Linked DNA regions of Lytechinus pictus. The protein of the gene in region 1 binds, or shares a complex with, the protein of each later gene. Links are inferred from orthologs where the notes say so. Each region holds a gene or a part of one and is shown in the gene's direction. Other genes may lie near its edges. The genes, in order: pre-mRNA-processing factor 17-like, pre-mRNA-splicing factor RBM22-like and pre-mRNA-splicing factor SPF27-like.

What was found.
Region 2: pre-mRNA-processing factor 17-like (region 1) and pre-mRNA-splicing factor RBM22-like share a complex: the UniProt entries of both Homo sapiens proteins name them as parts of the postcatalytic spliceosome P complex. The link is inferred for Lytechinus pictus from reciprocal best matches to the Homo sapiens genes CDC40 and RBM22.
Region 3: pre-mRNA-processing factor 17-like (region 1) and pre-mRNA-splicing factor SPF27-like share a complex: the UniProt entries of both Homo sapiens proteins name them as parts of the postcatalytic spliceosome P complex. The link is inferred for Lytechinus pictus from reciprocal best matches to the Homo sapiens genes CDC40 and BCAS2.

The regions. Positions count from the first base shown.
Region 1 is NC_087248.1:12,678,765-12,685,691, forward strand, and holds the start of pre-mRNA-processing factor 17-like, read left to right. Parts: upstream 1-3,857; 5' UTR 3,858-3,898; coding exon 3,899-4,084; intron 4,085-6,927. UniProt on the Homo sapiens protein: Required for pre-mRNA splicing as component of the activated spliceosome. Plays an important role in embryonic brain development; this function does not require proline isomerization.
Region 2 is NC_087262.1:21,577,588-21,585,319, reverse strand, and holds the start of pre-mRNA-splicing factor RBM22-like, read left to right. Parts: upstream 1-4,640; 5' UTR 4,641-4,705; coding exon 4,706-4,759; intron 4,760-7,732. UniProt on the Homo sapiens protein: Required for pre-mRNA splicing as component of the activated spliceosome. Involved in the first step of pre-mRNA splicing.
Region 3 is NC_087246.1:47,381,536-47,389,069, forward strand, and holds the start of pre-mRNA-splicing factor SPF27-like, read left to right. Parts: upstream 1-4,534; 5' UTR 4,535-4,646; coding exon 4,647-4,721; intron 4,722-7,534. UniProt on the Homo sapiens protein: Required for pre-mRNA splicing as component of the activated spliceosome. Component of the PRP19-CDC5L complex that forms an integral part of the spliceosome and is required for activating pre-mRNA splicing.

The DNA.
Region 1 (6,927 bases):
AGCTTTTTTTTGTGCAACACAGTCATATTTCATTTGGATCAATTCAAAATTGAGTGGTGTTTTGGGGGTAATGCTATGGTAACTGCAGTTCTGTTGTCCTCTGACAGTTGGTGTTGTAAGGATGTGATTGGCAGTGTGTTATAAGAGAAAAAAGAAAGTTAAAGTGAGAGTGTTGGCTTTGAAATGGACTCAACCTATGAAAGTTAAAGTTTGTGCTGCAGAAACTGGTGTGGTAGTGGGATGATAATGATGATGAGGAACAGGGCCGGTATTCAATGCTACTCTTAAAGCCATAATTTCAAGTATATTTTACTCAGTATTTTGCAAAAGTAAAATACTTATCCATCTTTGGTATTCAATTGCATTTTTTTTTGGCTAAATATTTTGCTTAAATGTAAGTCAGCCATCTACTAGACTTAAGTCTACATATACAAAAATGATACGCACAGAAATACATTCACACATTTGGCACTATTTGGCTCAAAATTTATAACATCACAATGGGTATTAGTATTTAGTTCAATTTGGATAAGGTAAATTCTGAGATCTGATCTGCATACAAGTTTAAGCATTTTGATAAGCCAGCCAAATTGCTAAGTAAAATACTTACAAAATCAAAACTTAGAATTTAATAGGCGGCCGAGGTATTATTTTCTTCCAGAGGACATGTACAGATTTCTTGTTGACAAAGGATGACATGATGATTATTTTGCAAATATGGCTTATTAAAAAATATATTATGTATATTCCATTTCAGTGACAATTGCATTTTTGGGGAGGGGATATTACGTATTTGGGAATGGAAAAGTTCAAAATTAATGCAAACTTAACCTATTTACGCAGGGGGGGGGGGGCTCTGAGCTCTGCGATTTAAAAAAAAAAGTCTTTTGCATGTTTTGAGACCAGTTTTGCGAAGCCCGGGTACTGGGTTCTGAAAATTACCAAACAATTTGTAAGTGCATATCAGACAAAAATGGCTCAAAATTGTGACATTTGTGTACCACGTCAATGGAATATGCGTTTTCAACCAAAATTCATGAATGCCTAATTGTTTTTAGTTTTGTTGAACTAAACTGATTTATTTTATGCTGTTACGAGAGTCTGAGCATCGTTGAAAAAAAACAATGCAATACAAAGGTAAAAACACAAGAAATACATTATCGAAGAACACCACAAAGAGTTTCTAAACCAAAAATTAGAACATTTGGAGCTTTATTTAGGGAGTTAGAGGAATAGGTATAGTATACTAATTATGCACAAATGAGCATAATCAATTAATAGCAATTTGCATGAAATAAATAAATAACTACACAATTTTGTGGATTATTAAAAGCAATTGCGATCTTTTTCTTCACTATTCATTGTTTTTAGAAACCTCATTGTAGACTTGCCTCATGCACCTCTCAAGATGGCTTCATCATTTGAATTATATTCACCATAACTTGTAATACAGTTTATTCTTTTTAAAAACCTCCATTAACTAATTGCCTCACCTCCTTTTAAATTGGCTTCACCATAATTTGTAATACAGTTTATTCTTTTTAAAAACCTCTATTGAAACTTGCGTCGCCTCCTTTTAAATTTGTAGTACAGTTTATTCTTTTTTAAAAACCTCCATTGAAACTTGCCTCACCTCCTTTTAAATTGGCTTCACCATATACAGTTTATTCTTTTTAAAAACCTCCATTGAAACTTGCCTCACCTCCTTTTAAATTGGCTTCACCATAATACAGTTTATTCTTTTAAAAAACCTCCATTGAAACTTGCCTAGCTCACCTCCTTTTAAATTGGCTTCACCATATACAGTTTATTCTTTTTAAAAACCTCCATTGAAACTTGCCTCACCTCCTTTCAAATTTGTAGTACAGTTTATATTCTTTTTAAAAACCTCTATTGAAACTTGCGTCGCCTCCTTTTAAATTTGTAGTACAGTTTATTCTTTTTTAAAAACCTCCATTGAAACTTGCCTCACCTCCTTTTAAACTGGCTTCACCATAATACAGTTTATTCTTTTTAAAAACCTCCATTGAAACTTGCCTCACCTCCTTTTAAATTGGCTTCACCATAATACAGTTTATTCTTTTTAAAAACCTCCATTGAAACTTGCCTCACCTCCTTTTAAATTGGCTTCACCATAATACAGTTTATTCTTTTTAAAAACCTCCATTGAAACTTGCCTCACATCCTTTTAAATTGGCTTCACCATAATACAGTTTATTCTTTTTAAAAACCTCCATTGAAACTTGCCTCACCTCCTTTTAAATTGGCTTCACCATAATACAGTTTATTCTTTTTTAAAACCTCCATTGAAACTTGTCTCACCTCCTTTTAAATTGGCTTCACCATAACCCAGGACCAAAATCCAATTGAAACCAGTTGGATTTCCAACTGGTTTCAATTGGTTTCAATTGGTTTTAACTGGTTTCAATTGGTTTTAACTGGAATTTAACAATTTCCAGTTGAAACCAATTGAAACCAGTTGGGCAACTGGAAATCCTAACTTTAACCTCCTTTAATTTAAATTGGCTTCACCATAATTTGTAGTACAGTTTATTCTTTTTAAAAACCTGCATTGAAACTTGCCTCACCTCCTTTTAAATTGGCTTCACCATAATACAATTTATTCTTTTTAAAAACCTCCATTAAAACTTGCCTCACCTCATTTTAAATTGGCTTCACCATAATTTGTAGTACAGTTTATTATTTTTTAAAAACCTCCATTGAAACTTGCCTCACCTCCTTTTGAATTGGCTTCACCATTGTAGTACAGTTTATTCTTTTTTAAAAACCTCCATTGAAACTTGCCTCGCCTCCTTTTAAATTTGTAGTACAGTTTATTCTTTTTAAAAACCTCAATTGAAACTTGCCTCACCTCCTTTTAAATTGGCTTCACCATAATTTGTAGTACAGTTTATTCTTTTTAAAAACCTCCATTGAAACTTGCCTCACCTCCTTTTAAATTGGCTTCACCATAATACAGTTTATTCTTTTTAAAAACCTCCATTAAAACTTGCATCACCTCCTTTTAAATTGGCTTCACCATAATACAGTTTATTCTTTTTTAAAACCTCCATTGAAACTTGTCTCACCTCCTTTTAAATTGGCTTCACCATAATACAGTTTATTCTTTTAAAAAACCTCCATTAAAACTTGCCTCACCTCCTTTTAAATTGGCTTCACCTTAATACAGTTTATTCTTTTTTAAAACCTCCATTGAAACTTGTCTCACCTCCTTTTAAATTGGCTTCACCATAATATTCAGGTAAGGTATATTCATTCTTTTTTTAAAAAACATCATTGTTCACTTCCCTCACCTAGATCATTTGGGTATATATAATACCTTTTATTCTACACTATTCTTCCCTTTAAAAAAACCTGATTGTACTCCTGCCTCCCCTGATCTGACATTTGCCTCTCAACGTACTGGAAATAGATACCCTTTTTTCAATATTTTTGTGTTTTTGACACCCTTATCACGTTACGTACGTAACGTGCCCTCTCTTGAAAAAGACATCCTTTTTACGTGTTTTTTTGGTTGCGCATGGTATCCACTCGTCAATGTAAGTGGCACCCCCGGGCGTACTGTACAGTGTTATTTTATTATCTCTTTATATCGGAAACTTCGTTTTACCGAATTGCCATGCACTCTCTCCGACGCGTAATTGAAGTCTTAGACAGCATGGCATACTACCAGCCGATGGTACACACACGCACGCACACACACGTTATTTGACAACTTGTCTCTGGAGCCAAAGTTCCTCGCATATATATCTGCATGCCTGCACGCAGTGTGTATTGAACACGCACGACCACGATCTAATGAATATTCATCGGCGAGACTGACGTCATTTTACGAGTCTCCTTTCAAACTTGGATCATAAGTGCCTACCAAATAGAAATGGCAGCGATTTCAGCTTTGCAGGCTTATGGAAGTGACGAAAGTGATGGAGATATTAGTGATAAGGAGTCCAATTCTGAAGATGCGACGGCACATCTCAGACCACTTGAGAAGGATCGGACCATTAAATCTTTGCAAGTGAAATTACAATTGAACGCAGCACCAACGGTGGACGAAACAAGTGACGTGAGTATTTGTACGTTGTCCCATATATCTGACTTGATGTTGGTAAAAATAAAATAAAACTAGATTTTAATTCGTCATGCGGACGAATTAGGTGGTCTGTCCTTATTCTCGCCATCATGATCACTATTTCCATGTTCAAGCAGATCAATATGATCTTCATGATGACAACGGAATGTTCATTATGGATGGAATACTTGCGAAAGTCGGGAGATGATAAAGAACTGTGAAAAGGGTCTCTTGATATATGAAAATACATGTGATATGAAAATAGTAATTATAATCTGTTTAATCTTGCTAATTTTTAACTTTCATACCTTTTGAATACCATAAAGGATCGTGTACGAGGTGGTAAAAAGAAAAAAAAAATGAAAAAAAAATCACCTTGTTCACCCCCAGGACTCGAGCCTGCGCCCCCGAGATCTCAAGTCAAGTGCGTTATCCATTGAGCCACGATATTCCCCATAGAGATTACACGTTCCCATAGAGATTACACGTAAGCAAATTTGAGAATTGCAAATCCAACTTTGCAAGCGAAAAACGGGCATGATCCCGGTATCTGATCAAAAAATGGAGGGCACACTTCCGAAAGCTGAGAATCTTAGCTACACCATATTCAAAGCTCAGAGACAACTGACAAAAGAAAATGGAGATATAGCTCACGAAATAGAGGAATGTAGAATCTAGTTTTGAGAAAAAGTTATGTCCCATAGAGATTACACGCAAAATGAGTAAAAATGACATGCCTTTATTATTTGCAATTTTTCAAGATGATCCGTTCATTAAAATGAAAAATAAAGGCAATAACTCAGAAAGAGTAAGACCTAAGCTACAACATATCGAAAATTGGGCGAAAATTAACTAATATTCACGGAGTTAGAGCCTAATTTGCATAATGGTTATGACGTCATAACAAGCAAAATGGATATTTTGATTTCCAACGCAGTTTTGATGACGTCATGATCAAATTGAGAGACAATGGTGACATGAAATCAAATCTACAACTCATATTCTATCGACATTTGAAAAAAAAATTGGGGGTCAACGGACTATTTAAAGAGCTACAGTGAATTTCCAATAGGCATGTTTTCGCCCATATATGGCCTGTAGTGAGAGCTCGCGCGCACACGTGCTGCAAACTTTAACGGGTGTTTATTTCGTTATCAATGGTCATAGAAGGTTGATCAAGGTATCAAATTGCTCAGAATTATATCATCAATGCAATGATGTAAAAAAAACTGTGTTTCTGCGTTGCGTTATGGCGTTGCGCGCGGAAACGCGCGCGCATACGTGCATGCGCGCAATTTTTTTGAAATGCTTAAAATGACTTGAAACGTACCCAAAAAAATTTATAAGCCATTTGGAGAATTTTTTTGGCTTTGACGCGCGTGTACGCGCGCGTCTTGACCTTTACATGACCTTTGATGACATTGACAGATGACCTTTGATTTAAAGTTTATGTGATGTAAATATGGTTGATTATTGATGATCCGTTATGTTGATATGATCAAATTGAGAATTTTACAAAATGGCGCGTAGATGACGTCATCATGACCAGATGACCTTGAAAAGCTTAGTATGCCGTCTCTATGATAGACTCTATATATGACAGAAAAATCAGCCAAAATGATTCAGCCAATTCGGAGAAAAGTTGGCGACAAACATAGGTGCTAAAAATAAATAATAAAGAAAGAAAATTCTGACGAAATTAAGAGGTGATCTGTCATAGACAGACCACCTAACTATAAATAACTTAGAAGTTTAGACATGTTACTGTTAGAAGACGTGCATCCCACATTGTCAATTAATTGCATGTGTAACGTTAGACAGCTGGCAGCCGTCTGTTTCGAGGAGTTTTTTAAAACATTTTTTTTATTTTCTCCTCGTACACAGACGGCTCGCTATCGTGCAGCCACCATTAGGCCTAGGGCACTCCTAGTACCAATGAGGTCCAACATTACATGTATGGACCTCATAGGCGACATCAGTAGTATTTTTGGTTAGAAATCTCTGAGAACAGGATATTTAAACATTATATCACAAGTACAAGCTATAATTCCTTTCTCTTATTTAAATTATAATTTTATAGTGTAAATGCATCGTTAGCAACAACAAAAAATGAAAGAAATGAAGGGGAACTTACATTTTCACGGCTTTTTCCTGATTTTCTGGGCAGCTGCTCTTCTCTTCTGACTCGCGATCGAAGCTGATATGAAGATCACGTGATTCGCGTTCTCGTCAGCTGATCGGTTGGTTATTCTTTTCGTCAGACGTTAATAATATATATTTTATAATGCTAGCATTCATCGCTAATTTAGGTGAAAGAGATTGAAGTTAAACAGCGCCAGGTCGGAATCATAATTATTTTGGAAGAGTGTATTTATACACTCGATCTCATACCTGACGTAGACGGCGCTATTCAACAAATGCACAATCTTCAATATAAAAATAAAACAGAAAGAACGCCTTGAACACAGGCCAAAATGCCTAACGATTTCTCCGCGGCATTAACAACTATCGTAAAGGGCGCTCCATTTATCAATAAAGATGGACGCTAAGCTGTCTATGGCGACAAAATTTGCCGCAAATATTTACGAAGAATTGTGAGAAATGGTCTGAAAATGCAACAAAAGAACCGGTGAGTACCGATTAAACATTATTAAATTTGTAAATAGATTATACATACCTTGTAGATTTAGTTTTTAAGGTGATATTAGTGCTTAGTTCTAAGCTAGGGAGGCCCAAACGCGCGTGAGTGGAGTCCCAGTTTATTAGCACGGGTAAGTATTGGGGTGTCGCCTAGAGTGGCCTAGGGGACTTACAATGCAAAATCCCACTCTAGGGCA
Region 2 (7,732 bases), on another chromosome or scaffold:
GATAAAAGTTACACACACAGAAAAAAAAATATGTAAATTGTTTATTTTTTTTACTTTACAACCACTTCAATCTTTTGATTTTTCTTATCATTTAAATTGATCAGATTTTTTCACTAACTTTGTAAAGTACAATAATGAGATTTCACTTTACAAAAAATCACCAAAACTTTAATAAGAAACTGGAACAGTTAGCCCTTCCTTTGGACCCCCCCCCTAATTTTTCCTTATTTTTCCCCAAATTTTGTAGCAGCTGGCAGCCAGGGCCAGTACTACAGAAAGTTTTCGAGGCACGTGTCAACTTTCTAAAATCAATACGCACACCCAGAGCAGTTGAGCAGTTCAATGTCATTGAAAGAGCTTTAAAGCCTTTGTTATATCTCATGGATTATTGTTTGTGATGGTTGGATGCACAGAACAGATGCTTTGAAGGGAAAATCTAGGTCCGAAGTGAGAACCAACATGGAAACTATTGTGTAGACTTGAGAGATCTGATTGATCTGAGATTGATATGGAAATAAAAATTGATGACATAATAACAAATTTGGGGGTGTTTCTCTAGTGGTTACTGAGGATATGATTTGTCGAGTCAAGCCCCCTACCCCGAAAAATTGTTATTATAAAATGCTTCTGGAACTTCTCTGCTTAAGTGCTTCAAATTATTCTTTTCTAAATCTTTCAGTTCTACTGAAGAGGAATCACAAGGATCTGTTCTATTGACTGCAGCAAGGACAATAGAATGATTATTTTTTTCAAGAAACATTAATAATTCCCAATATTTTTCCCCATAAATGCCAGTCACAATTATCATAAGTAGCCTAATCATAAGCAATATCATGTTATTAATATTCCCATTCTAAGGGCAAGGCCACTTGTCCACAGGGCACATTATCTACTAGTACACCATAAATAGGGAATTAAAATGGGAGTTAAACAATAAAAAAATGAAAACAGGAGTACCAGTACAACAAATCTTCAAGGCCAATGAGAGGGGCTTCAAAGCTAATCAACAGTGCATCCAAGTCATGGTGTTTGAGGCCTTTAATATTGGTATAATTTCAGTCCTGAATCATGATCACAATTACCAGCACGGCACAAAATATGGGGGCTCAGGCGAAATCGCCCAAAAAATGCCCCAATAGCCCTGGAAAAATTCAAAAGATCCCCTGATATCCCTCTAGAGTCCAATGAACACTGTGGCAAATGTGACGTGTCAAACGAGGGCTGGTGAGCTAAAAAAAAGTAACCCCAGAAGATTAATGATTCATACCTAAAAAACAGTAATCAATATATTTATGTTTGTTATGTAATAAAATACAAATTTTTGCCAACCAAATTTGGTTATCATAAGAGAAAATCTCTCAGCTAAGTCCTGTACAGTGTAAAAATCTGCTACATAAAAAATACCTTTTCTGTTTCAGTCTATAAAAAATGTGAAGCAAAATGCAATTTGATACCAGGAAAATTATTCACAATATAATATAACCACCAGCATCACAATAATAAAAATATCAAAATGATTTGCACAATCATAATCTTCAATTTCATTATGATGAAATTGATGATTATGCACCATGCACCATAATCATAACTTATCATCACCATCATCATCATCATCACCACCCCACCGCTATCATCATAACCATAATCATCACATCATTATCATCAGCAATCACTGTCATCATCATCAGGCCACCACCACCACCACAACCATCACTGTAACCAGTGGCGGACCGTGACCCGGAGGAGACAAAGCATTGGAGGGGCACAGCATTGTTCACAAATAATACCATGAATACAGTGCCCCTCCAATGCTTTAATTGTCTCCTCCGGGTCACGGTCCGCCACTGACTGTAACATTTCATCTTCACCATCATCATTTTGGTACAATCTCCGAAATGCCAGGAGTTCAATCACTTTACCATCATATTCTCAGTTTTTATCTCTCAAATTGTGTTTGACTTCCCCACTTTCAGTTTTAACATGAACATCAATGTTCGATATGCGCAGCGCGGCGTGTGGGTAGAGCGGAAGAACGAATATCACCTGTATCCCACAACGCTGAGACCAACAACCCCGGAGTTCCCCGCGGAGTACATCCCAATCCGCATCACATGCACTGTATTATTAACCTCCAAAATCTAAGCAACATCATAAACTTAAAAACGACGAACTGCAACAAAAAGGTTACTCACTGAATTATCTGCATTCGTTTATATGTCAAGATGGATCTCTTCCTCTGTCACATAAACAGATTCAGATGTTTGTTATCTTATTTCAGCGTAATTAAAGATAAAAGTTCACCGAATACAAAATTTGCCAAATTGACTCCAGGATTGACTTCCAGCTTCTACACACGTAGCAGACGATAGAAAACCTGCGATATCTGCTATATCGCGATTTGCCTATGTTGAGGGCGTAAGTGCAATGGATTCGAATAGAACATGCAATAGGCTTCATTGCTTTTGATTTTCATTGATTGGGGGGTGTAATGTTAACCCGGAATGTTAAAGGGATGGTCTAGGCTGAAAATATTTATATTCAAATAAATAGTGTAAAATTCACAAAGCAAATTGCTGAAAATTTCGTCAAAATCGGATAACAAAATAATTGAATTTTAAAGTTTATAAATATTTTGTGAAAACGGTTATTCGCACATCGTCATGTATATTCATTAGGTGGGCTGATGATGTCACTCCCCACTTTTCTTTTTCTTTTGCTATTACATGAAAACATAAATGTTTCGTTTTTTCATACATGTGTAAATAATGTGTCTCCATTATGATGAAATAAGTTGCGGCAATAAATAACTAATGCACTTAATCAGTTGTCAATCCACTTGTTTTCGTTCTTGGTAGAAAAATTTTGAATAATCCTAATTTCATATAATAAAATACAAAAGAACAAGTGGGGATATGACATCATGAGCCCATCTAATGAATGTTCATAAAGACTTGCCTAGAAATGTTTCACCGGAATAATATGCAAATGTTTAAAATTCAATAACTTTGTTATTTGTTATCTGATTTTGATCAAAATTTCAGCATCTTGCTCCGCCGTAAAGAAGAAGAAAAAGGAGAAGAAGAAGAAGAAGAAGAAGAAGAAGGAGAAGGAGAAGAAGAAGAAGAAGAAGGAGAAGGAGAAGGAGGAGGAGGAGAAGAAGTAGTAGAAGAATATAAGAAGAAGAATATTAATAATAATAATAATAATAATGATAACAGTAATAATAATAATAATATAGCAGGTCTATTGCTTCAGTGTTGAACAAGTCAGCTATCATGCGATATAGGCCTAAACTGCTGACATCGACAAATTTATCAGAATGTCATGTGTACTATATGCCCATACTCATAGCACTCGGAGACCGGGGCTCTTGAAAATGAAACAAATAGAATGACAGTCGATCTTCACAGGAATAATACACACACAAAAGAAAATATATTTTTATTTTCCACTGCACCTGCTTTTGTGTGAGTGCTGTGGTGAACAATCAGCACTGCATATACTCGAAATTAGACATTTCATATTTTGTATTGTTACACCTCTAGCTGTGAGCTAAACTCATTATTTATGTGATGCCATTAAGAACTAGACAGTGAGAGAGTGGGAGACACAATTATAGTGTCATTTTTTTCCTAGGCTTTTTTATGGAGTGGGTGTTTAATTTCACTCAAAATTGTGAGGAGTAGACCTATATACCTGCGCCATTCCGAATTCTGAACAAAACTCATCTCATCCATTATAAATGCATTCAATACATACCAGTCCCGAAAGCTAACAAATTGTGTTCTTCGAGTGATTTTTTAGGTTATGGGCCCATTATTCCTAGGGAGTGTTGCAAGAAAATATTTGCAATTAATTGTAAATGTTACAAGTTATAGATCAATTTTAAGAAAAGCAAATCAACGGTATTCTTGTTATACAAGGAGAAGACAATTGCAAATTTGCAATTAATTTCAAGATTTAAAACTGACATGCAATCGATTGCAAAATTCTTGCAACATCCCATTAAAATCGCTCATTAGAAATACAAATAACGAAATAAGCTTCCAACTGGTTATCCTGTTCAAGCCTATGATTTTAACGCTACTGTATACATGTATGGTGACTTGGAAAATAGAAGCAATCAATCAATCAATCAATCGATCAATCAATCAATGTGGTGGTGCCATGGCCGAGTGGTCGAAGGCGCCTGGCTACACATGGAAAGTCCGGGGTTCGATCCCCGGCCGCGGCACCTATGCCCTTGAGCAAGGCTTTTATTCTACAATGCTATTTTATCCTGTTTTCAAATAAATGGAAATGCTATATTCATTATTGGTAACTAGGTGTGCAATTGTTTTATTAAAAAATCGATGATAAAAGTATGGGTGAGAACAGATGATAAGAATAGTGGGATGAAAAGAAGTCATCAAAAACCTAAAAAGTCTTTGATTCAATGTTACTCTGAAAGTACATGTAATCCTACAAAGTAAGTTAGATGTTCAGAGAATTCTACAAAATACAAACAAAAAACGTATTCAATAACAAATCATAATTGTAAAAATTAACCGAAAAAAGCACTTTAAAAATTAAGTTGAAAAATGAAAAAGATAAATATTTTTACCAAAAACTAAACTGACTAATTATAAGCGATACCGTATGCCTTTATCGCCTTGCTACTTTTATTTTCGGTCGGTAATTTCAGTTTAAGAAAGCAGCACAAGCGATGGCGGTGAGCAAAAGCGCAAACACCTACAATCGACTGAATTGGGAAGAAGCTGTAAGTATTTTACGAATTAATTTTATCTTATTTGGGTCATAATGTGAATCTTCATTATTCCCTCAAGAATTTCATCAACATTCCGTTTGATTTCATGTAAGATTTACAAAGATCCATGCTATTTTGCAATCTCATGTTGTGGAGTAATTTTTGGTTGTACTGTCCCACCTGTTGGTATTCGTGTATTGGTTTCTGTGATGAAGAGAAAAGAAGAAAAAAAAGTGGACGTGTGTGACTCATTGCTCATTGAAGCTAATTGACAGAAATGTCGGTGCGAAAGCCTAATTTTTGCTTGAATGTAACCATGAATATGGATGGAATATATAATCTGAATGTCAACTGTGTGACTGATAGGAAACGTCAGCTGAGCTTGCTCAAATCTTTATGCTTTCGCTTTCGTTTCGGCGTCAACATGAAATGCAGTTCAGCATGAGCAGTTACATGATGTAGTTTGAGGTGCACAAGTCTAGAGTAGCCATTAGGCTCCTAGAGAGTAAAAATTCACTAATGTGTCACGGAGCCAGGCAGTAGAGGCGCATGGCCAATATGGGAGACTCTCTCCAATAGGGGAGACAATCTCCCACATTGGAGACTTGCTTTGCAAAAGGACAAAAGAAACAACACTAACAAAAGCATGATTTTTTCCACCCAAAATTTTGTCTCACTGAGGTCAGAAGCCCATTTGTTTTGTGTGTGATTGACAACAAAAATCCTTATCAAAACAAAAGTAGACGGTGAATTTTTAAAGTAGACGGTGAAAAGGGGTAATTTTTTATGAGGAATCTACTTATTACATTTTTATTTGCCGCCAAGGTAATCCTTTTGAAGCAAATGTAAACAAAGGAAATTGGACTCCAAAACTGGAGACTGTCTCTAAAATTGGATACCAAAATTCTTTACAAAAGTCTCTGATATTGGAGATAATCTCCCACATTGCAGATAGTCTCCAATATTGGCCGTGCGCCTCTACTGCCAGGGGTTGTGCCCATTAATCATGCGCGTAATGTTGTAACCCGCACCCGTTGCGGTACGGGTTAACCTGCCGGTATGCCCCCGATCGCGGGTTGCGGGCCGGGCCGAGTTCATTCTCAAACCCGCAGACCGTCATGCCAAAAAAAAGGGAGAAGTAACGACGCATAATAAAAACATTAACAAAATAATAAATGAAAATTGAGTTAGGATCATGTGCTTCTTACGTGGCGGATTCTTTTAGAGACGTAGATATTTCCTTTAAAAAAAATGCTGGCGTATTTTTGTCTTGTGAACAGTGAACAGAACTGAGACAGTTCGACATAAATACATCGAGTTGCTCTTTTGAAGAAGGAGCGCGCGCGCCAGTGCAGCGCAGCACAGTCTAGTCAAAAGCAATCGCATAGGCCAATGAAACTCGATGTCGAGTTTCCCGTCCCATTTTTTCAAGCTCATAATGAGGATTTCATTATTTTCCAGAAGATGAAAGTTTGACCTTTTGTAACCTTTGAACGCACTTTTATTCTGTGGAACTGTCTTGAAGCCAGGGAGCAAATCAATCATTTTTTTTCGGGGGTTCCATTTTCATTTTTTGGGTAATATTTCAGGGTCTCCATTTCTACCGTTTTGGAGGCTACTTTTTTCATTTTGGGGGCTCTTTTCAAATGCTACGTTTTTGTATTTTGAGGAATCCCTGTTCACTTATTAAATTAATTATTACTTATTGTTTAATATTGAATGATTTTAAAGTTATTTTTTTTCATGCTTAGAATCTTGGATGTGGGTGTGTTTGTGTGGGTGTGACTATGAGTTGAACTTGGATATAAATGAATTCAATATCTAATTTCTACTCCATCTAATTCCAGTACTTGGCCATGTAATAAAGGCCCACATACCCTAACTTTTCCTGATGTTCTTTGAAAACGCAGATCTCCACGAAAATTGCATTTCTCTATGGGGGAGTCTAAATTTGGTGAGAATGAACTCATTAATAACTTAAATATACATGACAATGAAGAAATCATCTAACTTTATTGGCAGTTTTGAATAATATTCCCGAAATATAAACTTTACAGAGCGAATTGTCCCCCAGAGCTCTGGCAGAGAGACAGAGCTCAGACTGGCTAGCTAGTACAAGCGCCAATGCGTACGTGCGTGAGCCTCCCGTCGGCCTTGTAAAACAGATTGAGTTTTGTTTGATGATTTTTTTGTCTGATATGCCGTATGACAACTCACCAATGCGAGGTTACTAGACTATGGGATTTATTGAGGTAGCTCGACCAAACCTCGAGCGATGTTCGTGCAGGCTCCACTCCACTTCACTACCGCTACATCGGGTAGGTAGAGCGTAGTGTAGCAGAAGTGAAGTTGAGTGGAGCCTGCGCTGCACGAACATCGCTCGAGGTGTGGTTGAGCATGCAGTGTCATTCCATTCACAAGAAAAAAACAAGAAAAGAATTACAGGTATTTACATGATATACAAGTAATTGTGACTGAAAAGCTTATATTAATGTTTTATATCAGTTCTGAATCTATATCTATGTCAAAATAGTAAAATAATGAATTATTTTCAGAATTTGATTTTTAAACGCGGTCCAAATTTCATAACGCGGGCGGGCGACGGGAAACCGAACATCGAATTTGCTGGGCAGCCTGGGCTACATGTAGCTAGCGCGCGCTGAGCTGCGGCTCCGATCCGAGGAGTTAATTGCGCAATGCTTTCGATTACGAGATCAGAGCCGACCCATTTCGGGTACAAAGTAACCCCCAAAAACATTTTCTCTCCGGAATAAAAGGCAAATTTGCAAATTGTAAGTAAATTCACTCTAGGCTAGGTTAGTAGTTGGCATATATTTTCGTGATTTGAGCCTGTATAGTGTGGGGATTGCAGAAATAATTTTCACTTTTCAAAGATAAATTTACTTGCGGGTTAAAACCCGACGGGTCAGCGGGTCCCGCTTGCAAATTATTGGATTATACGGGACGGTACGGTTCGGGTTTTCA
Region 3 (7,534 bases), on another chromosome or scaffold:
ATATTATATTCCGAGGTGCGTTGTTATAATTATTATTACCCCGGCTTTAGCTCGAGCTGCCTTTCAGCGCTCATGCATTCAAGGAATTAATCCTGCCGGGTACCCATTCACCTCACCTGGGTCGAGTGCAGCACAATGTGGATAAATTTCTTGCTGAAGGAAATTACGCCATGGCTGGGATTCGAACCCACGACCCTCTGTTTCATAGTCAGAAGACTTATCCACTGGGCCACAACGCTCCACACGTTGAGGACAAAATTTTGTATAAATTATCGTATAACTTTGTAAAGGTAATACCTAACCATCATCTTGAGTTTGGTTTTAAATTTTAATGCATGAGAATGGCAGGACTAAGCCAGATGCTCTTCCTGTGTCTCCAAGGTATGTGGGTGGCAGGTCTTTTTAGTGATCTATCAATTTGCTTTAATTGTTAATGGATTAAGGCTGGGAAGCTAGACACAGCTATGTACTGTATTGTACTGCTCTTTGCTACTGATGGTTCTATCCAGTGGTGTGAGATAGGCATTTTGATACAGCTACGAACACTATTTCGGTCTGTGAATCCATTTATTCAATGGCAAAAGATGGATTTTCAGTGTGATGAAAGTTGAAAGCCTTACATGTTTTGTTACTTTCATATTTTGAGAAGTATAATGTAAATTTCGAGTGTATTCGTTTTTGTATTTTAAAAGTGATATACATGTTATGTTCTTTTATAGTGGAAACTTAATATTAGTAATATTAATGGATGTGTTCATATTTAAAGTCAAGATATTTCAACTACCTTGTATTTGAATTGATTTTTAGTTTGGCATAGGTCTGCACAAGAGAATGATAACTTTGAAGACCTGTAGATGATATTGCCCTAGACGACATATCACTTCTCACGATAGTGCAAACTTCCAACTTTTTAGGGTTCAGGGGCAAGGGTCATAGCTGTCAATCTAACACCCTTTTTCCCTTTCCTAAGTTTACTATCTTTATGTTAAATGAAGCAGCAGAAAACGAGATATGATTTGTACATCAATTACATGTATTTAATACAATATGTGAATATTACTGCTGGTGAAAATAAAAACAAATTAGTTCTGAGTAGAAGGTTTTTTTTTTAATTGTTTAAATGCTTTTGTAATAGGCCAGTTAGAAACAAACTATTTTCATCTTTCTTAACTCTGAAAGATTGATTTTTGAAAATTGTAGTTCATCATGTGAAAACAACACAAGATATAAAATGTACATTACTGATGATAATCCATGAACTTATTGCTTGTAGAATTACGAAAACAATATTCAAGCTTCTCATAGGCTATGCTCATTTTTCGACTTCCAAAGGTTTGTCAGTTCTCAGGTGGTCTTACAATTTCGTCTTAGATCAGATTTGATTTCCTTTATAAGTCGATTGAAGGATCCTAAAAGCATAAATACATAAAGGTGATTATCAATACAGTTTCTTCGCTTACCCTTTGGTGTAAAAATGTTTATTTTAATCATAGGTGCAATATGTCTGTTTATATTATAATTTCAATATGAATCGACCCAGTAGTGATTACAAAGGTCTATTGATGCTTGCTATGAGGACTATGTAATCAAGAAATTTTTGTCAATTCAATTAAAGTTAGATTTAGGACCCTCTATCACAAGTCTTGTAATCAATCGGAAATTCGCAATTGATAACTGGCGTGATTCTTGCATCAACAAATATTACCTTGCTTTACTTCAAGTCGACTTATCACTTGTAAATTTGCAACTGAAGTTGTAATTATTTTCTTGCAACACCCACTACATGTAGATGTATGTCTTATATATTTCGGCGAATTTCTCTGCAGCCCTGTTTATTTTTGTCATTGATATGATCGACACAATGCAGGATTAGCTTGTTTTAAACTCATATTGACTTGCTTGCATTGTATTGGTTTTACAGAGATACCTTCAAACTATAGATAGATACATGTTCTCTGAGAACGATGGCAGTTGAAACTGTAGAAATTCACCTTGTGTAACTCGATAACCTTTTCAGCAATCTGTTCTGTTAAAGTATGGATTTAGTTTTTGTGTTTAAAGATATCTTGCTGTTTATTATTTTTTTGTATCTTTATGTTAAAAACATTGTAAGATAAGATAAGGATTTCAAAGATTTATTGACTTTACTGATTTGATTTGTTTTTGTATTGTCTTGTTGGTTGAGGTTGTGTTTCCTAAAGTTCATAATGCTGAGATAAGGATTCCATATTTATCTCTGTATACAGTTTACAGTTAATGTCGTGTTTCCACTGCCAGGTTTGGCAATTAGATCATGTCATTTTAAATATTCAAGCTCTAAATTTGCTATTTTTGTGATATCCTAATATGGGGAAAGTGAAATTATTTAAACCCCAGTGGAGTGTTTCATAATAGTATTTGTCATATGTTTTATCCCGTGAAATCTGTTTTATCCAACTGTAACCATAGTAACAGACAGCTAAATTTCTTAGCCAATCTTAATCCAGAAAAGTGATGGACCAGACAACATGTCAGAGAAATGTTGATGAAACACATGTACATGATTTACTTAAATAAAACGACTATGAATTATTTGTAAGGTTTAACTTTAGCTTGGGTATAACTTACCACTTTGAATTTTGCTTTATAGACATGTCTTCTTCTTCAGCATAATTTTGTGATCTATCATCCTTATTCCTAAGAGTGAAGATTCAAAAGCTTACAGGCTCACAGTCACACTATGTATGGTTCACATATGGTTCAGTAAGATTCAGCATCAAATGCTTATGCAGCTGATTACATGTGTTCATGAAGTAGTAGATTATAAAGTAGAAATTTGCAATTATGACGTCACAGTACTAGGTTGAATCTCTTGGGAGAAAATTCAACTCAAAACTGATAGATGATGTGTTTTGCATATAATGTTTTGAAGTGCTGCTTGAGCCTGCTTCAGTTGTTGCTATTATTTCACGATTGGAATTACTCCAAACTGGGTGGTATTTCATAAAGCTGTCTTTGTGCGTTAAGCTACGCATGACTACGCATAACTGGAACATGTTCTTAGGTGCTCAGTCAGTTACATGTGATATATCATTTAGCCTAAGATAGGGTCACCAGTCATGTGTAAACAACTGCAGTCGTCCCAAGATTAATTGTCAAAGTACATGTACATGTGCGTCTTAGATATATTCTAACTAATTGAACGAAATAAATACAAGTGTGATGATTATTGATGCATTGTGATTTACGCGTAGATGACGACAGAAAGGTCCGAAAATATGCATTATCGCACTTCATGATATATTATCTTTAATGCATGACTGATCAGTCACAATTTGCAACTAGGTGAAAAACAAGGCTATTATTATCTCTTCCATATGAAATCAATTAACTGTGTATAATGACAGCCAGGTTAGAAGTTTTTTGACTTCAGCATCTTCTCCTTTTACTGCGTTTTATATGTATAGTGTTCAAATAATTCCTGTATACACTGTATATGTCGTACATGTACATTGTAAGCAAGCAGTGAGTGTGAAATAGGTAGGTGTGTCTGAATTATTTTCATTTTGGTAATATGTCATGGTTTACTTATAGGGATATCAGAAAAAATTACAGGACATTATTATAAAAACTAAATTCTAAATCACTTACATTTGCAGGTGTACATGTTAGAGTTCAAGAATTATGTCTGTGAATCTTCACGAAATTACATATGATGTCAATTTTGTTAACTTTGTATACCAAGTGATGGCTGTCACTTTTTAATGGAAAGAGGTATAATTATCTCTGTGGTGTCATTATTTATTATGATAGATTTATAGCAAAGCACAGGGTGCATCTATATTGATTGTAAATGTACCGTTTGTGTTACATTGTGCAAAGCACTTAAGTGGCCGGGGGATACTGGACGTCTTGTAAATAAAGACTGATCAATCATAGCAATACCTGATTTTCCTCATTCTTTGTTAAAGTCTATCTTTTGCCTGTTTCAGCACCCCCCCAAAAAAAAAAAAATTTGTGAATGTCACTATTCCAATTCATTATTAGATCATATTAATGAATGTGTCCCAAAAATGGTCATACACAGAATATTTTCAGGGGGGGGGGGGCAAAGATGCATACATTTTTTTAAACACTCCAAAGTGATCGGGGGCAAAGCAACCAACCAAGCTTGTCTTCGGGGCACTTATGCATTTTTAAAAGTGAAATTGAAGGATTTTGTGCACACTGTTGGTGAATTTTGTGATCACTTTGAGTAAAAAAATGCAAGTTTTAATTTTTTTAGGGGGGGAGGCAAACCATAGGAATCGCGAGCGTTGAGTGACAGTTAAGTTCTGAGCTAAGGCTTAATTGCAGGGATTTTTGTGGACAAAATTGGAAAATCAGTAGACTGTGGTAATTGAGGTTAATCTCCATAATCTCAGATGCATCTGAGGCTCACGATTTTTCAATTTTGTCAGAAAAATTGGCGAAGACCGCAGAATTATGATTTTTTTTCTCTTCAAATTTTGCCCAAAGAAAGCCTCCCCCCATCAAAATTATCCCTCATTGTAGCGCCCTCTATTCCAGCTGTAGCGCTATGCGGCGTTTTCACTTTTTGTAGTGCAAACGGGATGCTTGAAAGCCTTGATTTCGTCGGCCTCTTTCGTAATTCTAACTGAGAAAATATGGCGGGAGAAGTAATAGTTGATGCCTTGCCCTATGTCGACCAGGGATACGATGAACCAGGAGTCAGAGAAGCGGTTGGTATTTGGAATAATCTCTTTTTTTGGGGGGTCGTCTTTGCCTTGGCAAAACTAGACTGCGAGCGAAAGTGACTTCGGTCCCAGGTATTAATTTTGGTGTTTAGTTTTCAACTCGAGGAACAATTCTGTGACTGTGTCTTGGAGTGTGAGTGACGTGGACCTAGCCAGGAGACTCCTAGCACTAGTGACTCCTAGAGAGTAAAAATCATTTACTAGCGTATGCTTGTACTCTCCACGGAGCCAGGGATGGTGTTAACCCCATTCATGTGCGTGTACCGGGAAAAAACTGAAAGTGAAACTGAAGCCTATTCTAGCTCGGGGGCGAAAGTTTCAATTTTTTCGTGGTAGAACTGGTACACGCAAATGAATGGGACACAAAAGTCAAAAGTCACAATCCCTGGCTCCGTAGAGAGTAAGCATACGTTAGTCGTTAGCAAATGATTTTTACTCTCTTACTAGTCTTAGTCTTAAGACTCTAAGTCTAGACTAAGTTAGACTGAGAGAATGAACTGCAGCCACTCACACGTATATTGCGAGGTTAGTATTACTCACTCACACAACATGCGAGGTTAGTATACTAACCTCGCACAACACATGTGATTTCATAGTGCATTTTGACGTTTTCATTCATCACACGAATGTGAGGGACTAAACTACGCCAAACCTTTCAATATTTCTCCACTATGTTAATCTTGATCGTATGGTTTACTTTAAGTAGGGTGTCTGAAGCCACACTGAAAAGTGTCAGCATAAAACAGGCTAATTTAGGGAAAATATGGCACATTTTTTCGGGGAAGTTCAGGCTACTAGAAAAATGTGATCTGAATTGATTATTAACTTGTGTTTGGCATGTATGGAAAGAGAAAATTCAGGGGCTCCTTTTGACAGTAAGGACAAGTTTATATGATCTTTTTAAATAAGGATTTAGAGATAAATTGCAAACCCTGGCCTTATTTATGTGTGTGTTGAGATTGCCATTTCTCCATGCGTTTTCTATGGGAAAATGAAATTTCTGTTTTGCACAATTTTTTTCACTTTGTCGCAATTTTTCATTGTGATCTGGTTTCAAAATCTTTATAAAAATCATACCATCAGATAGAGCATAAAAAATCCTATTGGACTCTTTATGGACAAGTTTTTGGCATTAATAATAAATTTATAACAGCTCTCGGAAGCTAAAAATTTGGATTTGTGTGTGTCCATTTCTTAACTACACAGTCTATGGCAGAGAAATGCTGAAAATTTACCTAATTTCATTCTTCTTTTTTGCAGCCAATAATTGGATTTTTTCCAAAATGTTACATTTCTGTCAGTCTGAAGGTCATTTCTCTTCAAATTCACAAAGAAAATGTGATATTTTCTTGAAATAAGAAAAATAATTTTTTTCTCCAGACACCCTACTTTAAGGTTATTTGAAAAAGAAATTATAAATTATTTATTAAAGTGTTTTTATCGCTTACCTCCAAATCTCAACCAGGATACTTCGCTCGGTCCGTCCTTAGTCATCCTTCGTACTGCGGTGGAAATTACGCAAACAACAATCGAAATGCGAAATTTTCCTATCGAATATTCTCGATTCAAGTCGTCGGCGCATAATAGGAAATTGTACCAAAAATCAACATAGTTCTCTATTTATTCAAACAATTTTTTCTGGGGTGCACTTGACCTTTAAGAGATTTTCCAATGAAAATATTACATGGAACTTGGAAATACAAATCATAATTTGGTTGAACAAAATGTTTTCTGTTAAAGTATAAAACAGAAGAGGAACATATCCTTCACGTATTTTTATATCCAAAATATGTTGCCTTAGTATGGAATAATCACAATGACATAAAATGAAAATGGGTAAAGTACCTTCCTAATGATCATTGAGATTTCGCCTATGGAATCATTGTTTAATAATTTTCAAAGCTTTAAATAGATGAAAATGGTCATTGAGAAAATATACATGAACAAAATGATAATGTCCCGATTGTTTCGCATTACGTGTGTTAGATTGCGGGCGTTTGTGTGTGTGTGTAGGAGGCAAGATATTCGTGTTAATGTTTGCACAAAAAAGGAGAGGGAAAGGAAAAGGGGAGGGGGAAAGGTAGAGGAGAGAGAGGGAAAAGGAGACCATAAAATAGAAAGAAAACAAAGGAAAGGAAGAGGGGAAGGGAGAGAGAAAGAAAAATGGAAAGAGCGAGAAAAGAGTAGGGGAGGGAGAAAGGAAAGAAAAGAAGGGAAAGGAAAAAGGGAGAAAGGGAATGGAGGGGGCGGGAAAGGAAAGGAGAGACAATAAAAGACAGATCAGGGGAGGGGGAAAGTAGAGGAGAGAGAGGGAAAAGGAGGCCATAAAATATATATAGGTCTCCTCATCATGGTTATAAAAAGTGCTCAGAATGTTTTATTTTCAAGTCCTTGTATCAGAATTTTCAGCTCGGGCAGCTCTATCGCATTTTGATTACTATCCTGTTGATTTATTTACTTGAACAAAATATTTAAAATGTCCAGCTTTTAGAACAGATATCAAAAAAAGGTATTCACCTTTGATCATAGATGAGGAAGAAGAAAAAAGTGCAAAAAAATAGGAAACAAACTAACGAATTAATGTGACATAATTTTTCTTCATTTCAAGGCGACTCTTTACATTTCATCATCGCTGATGGCGCTACAATAGAAAATACCGCTTGACAGCCAAAAAAAAACAGAAAGAGGAAAATAATGCTGAGCGTCTAAAACGCAGCTAGCAGTACAAGCTGCAGAACAGTAAACAAACATCTTGTGAATAATATCGCGCGCCCTCTTTAAGCAAAAGTTTACAACCA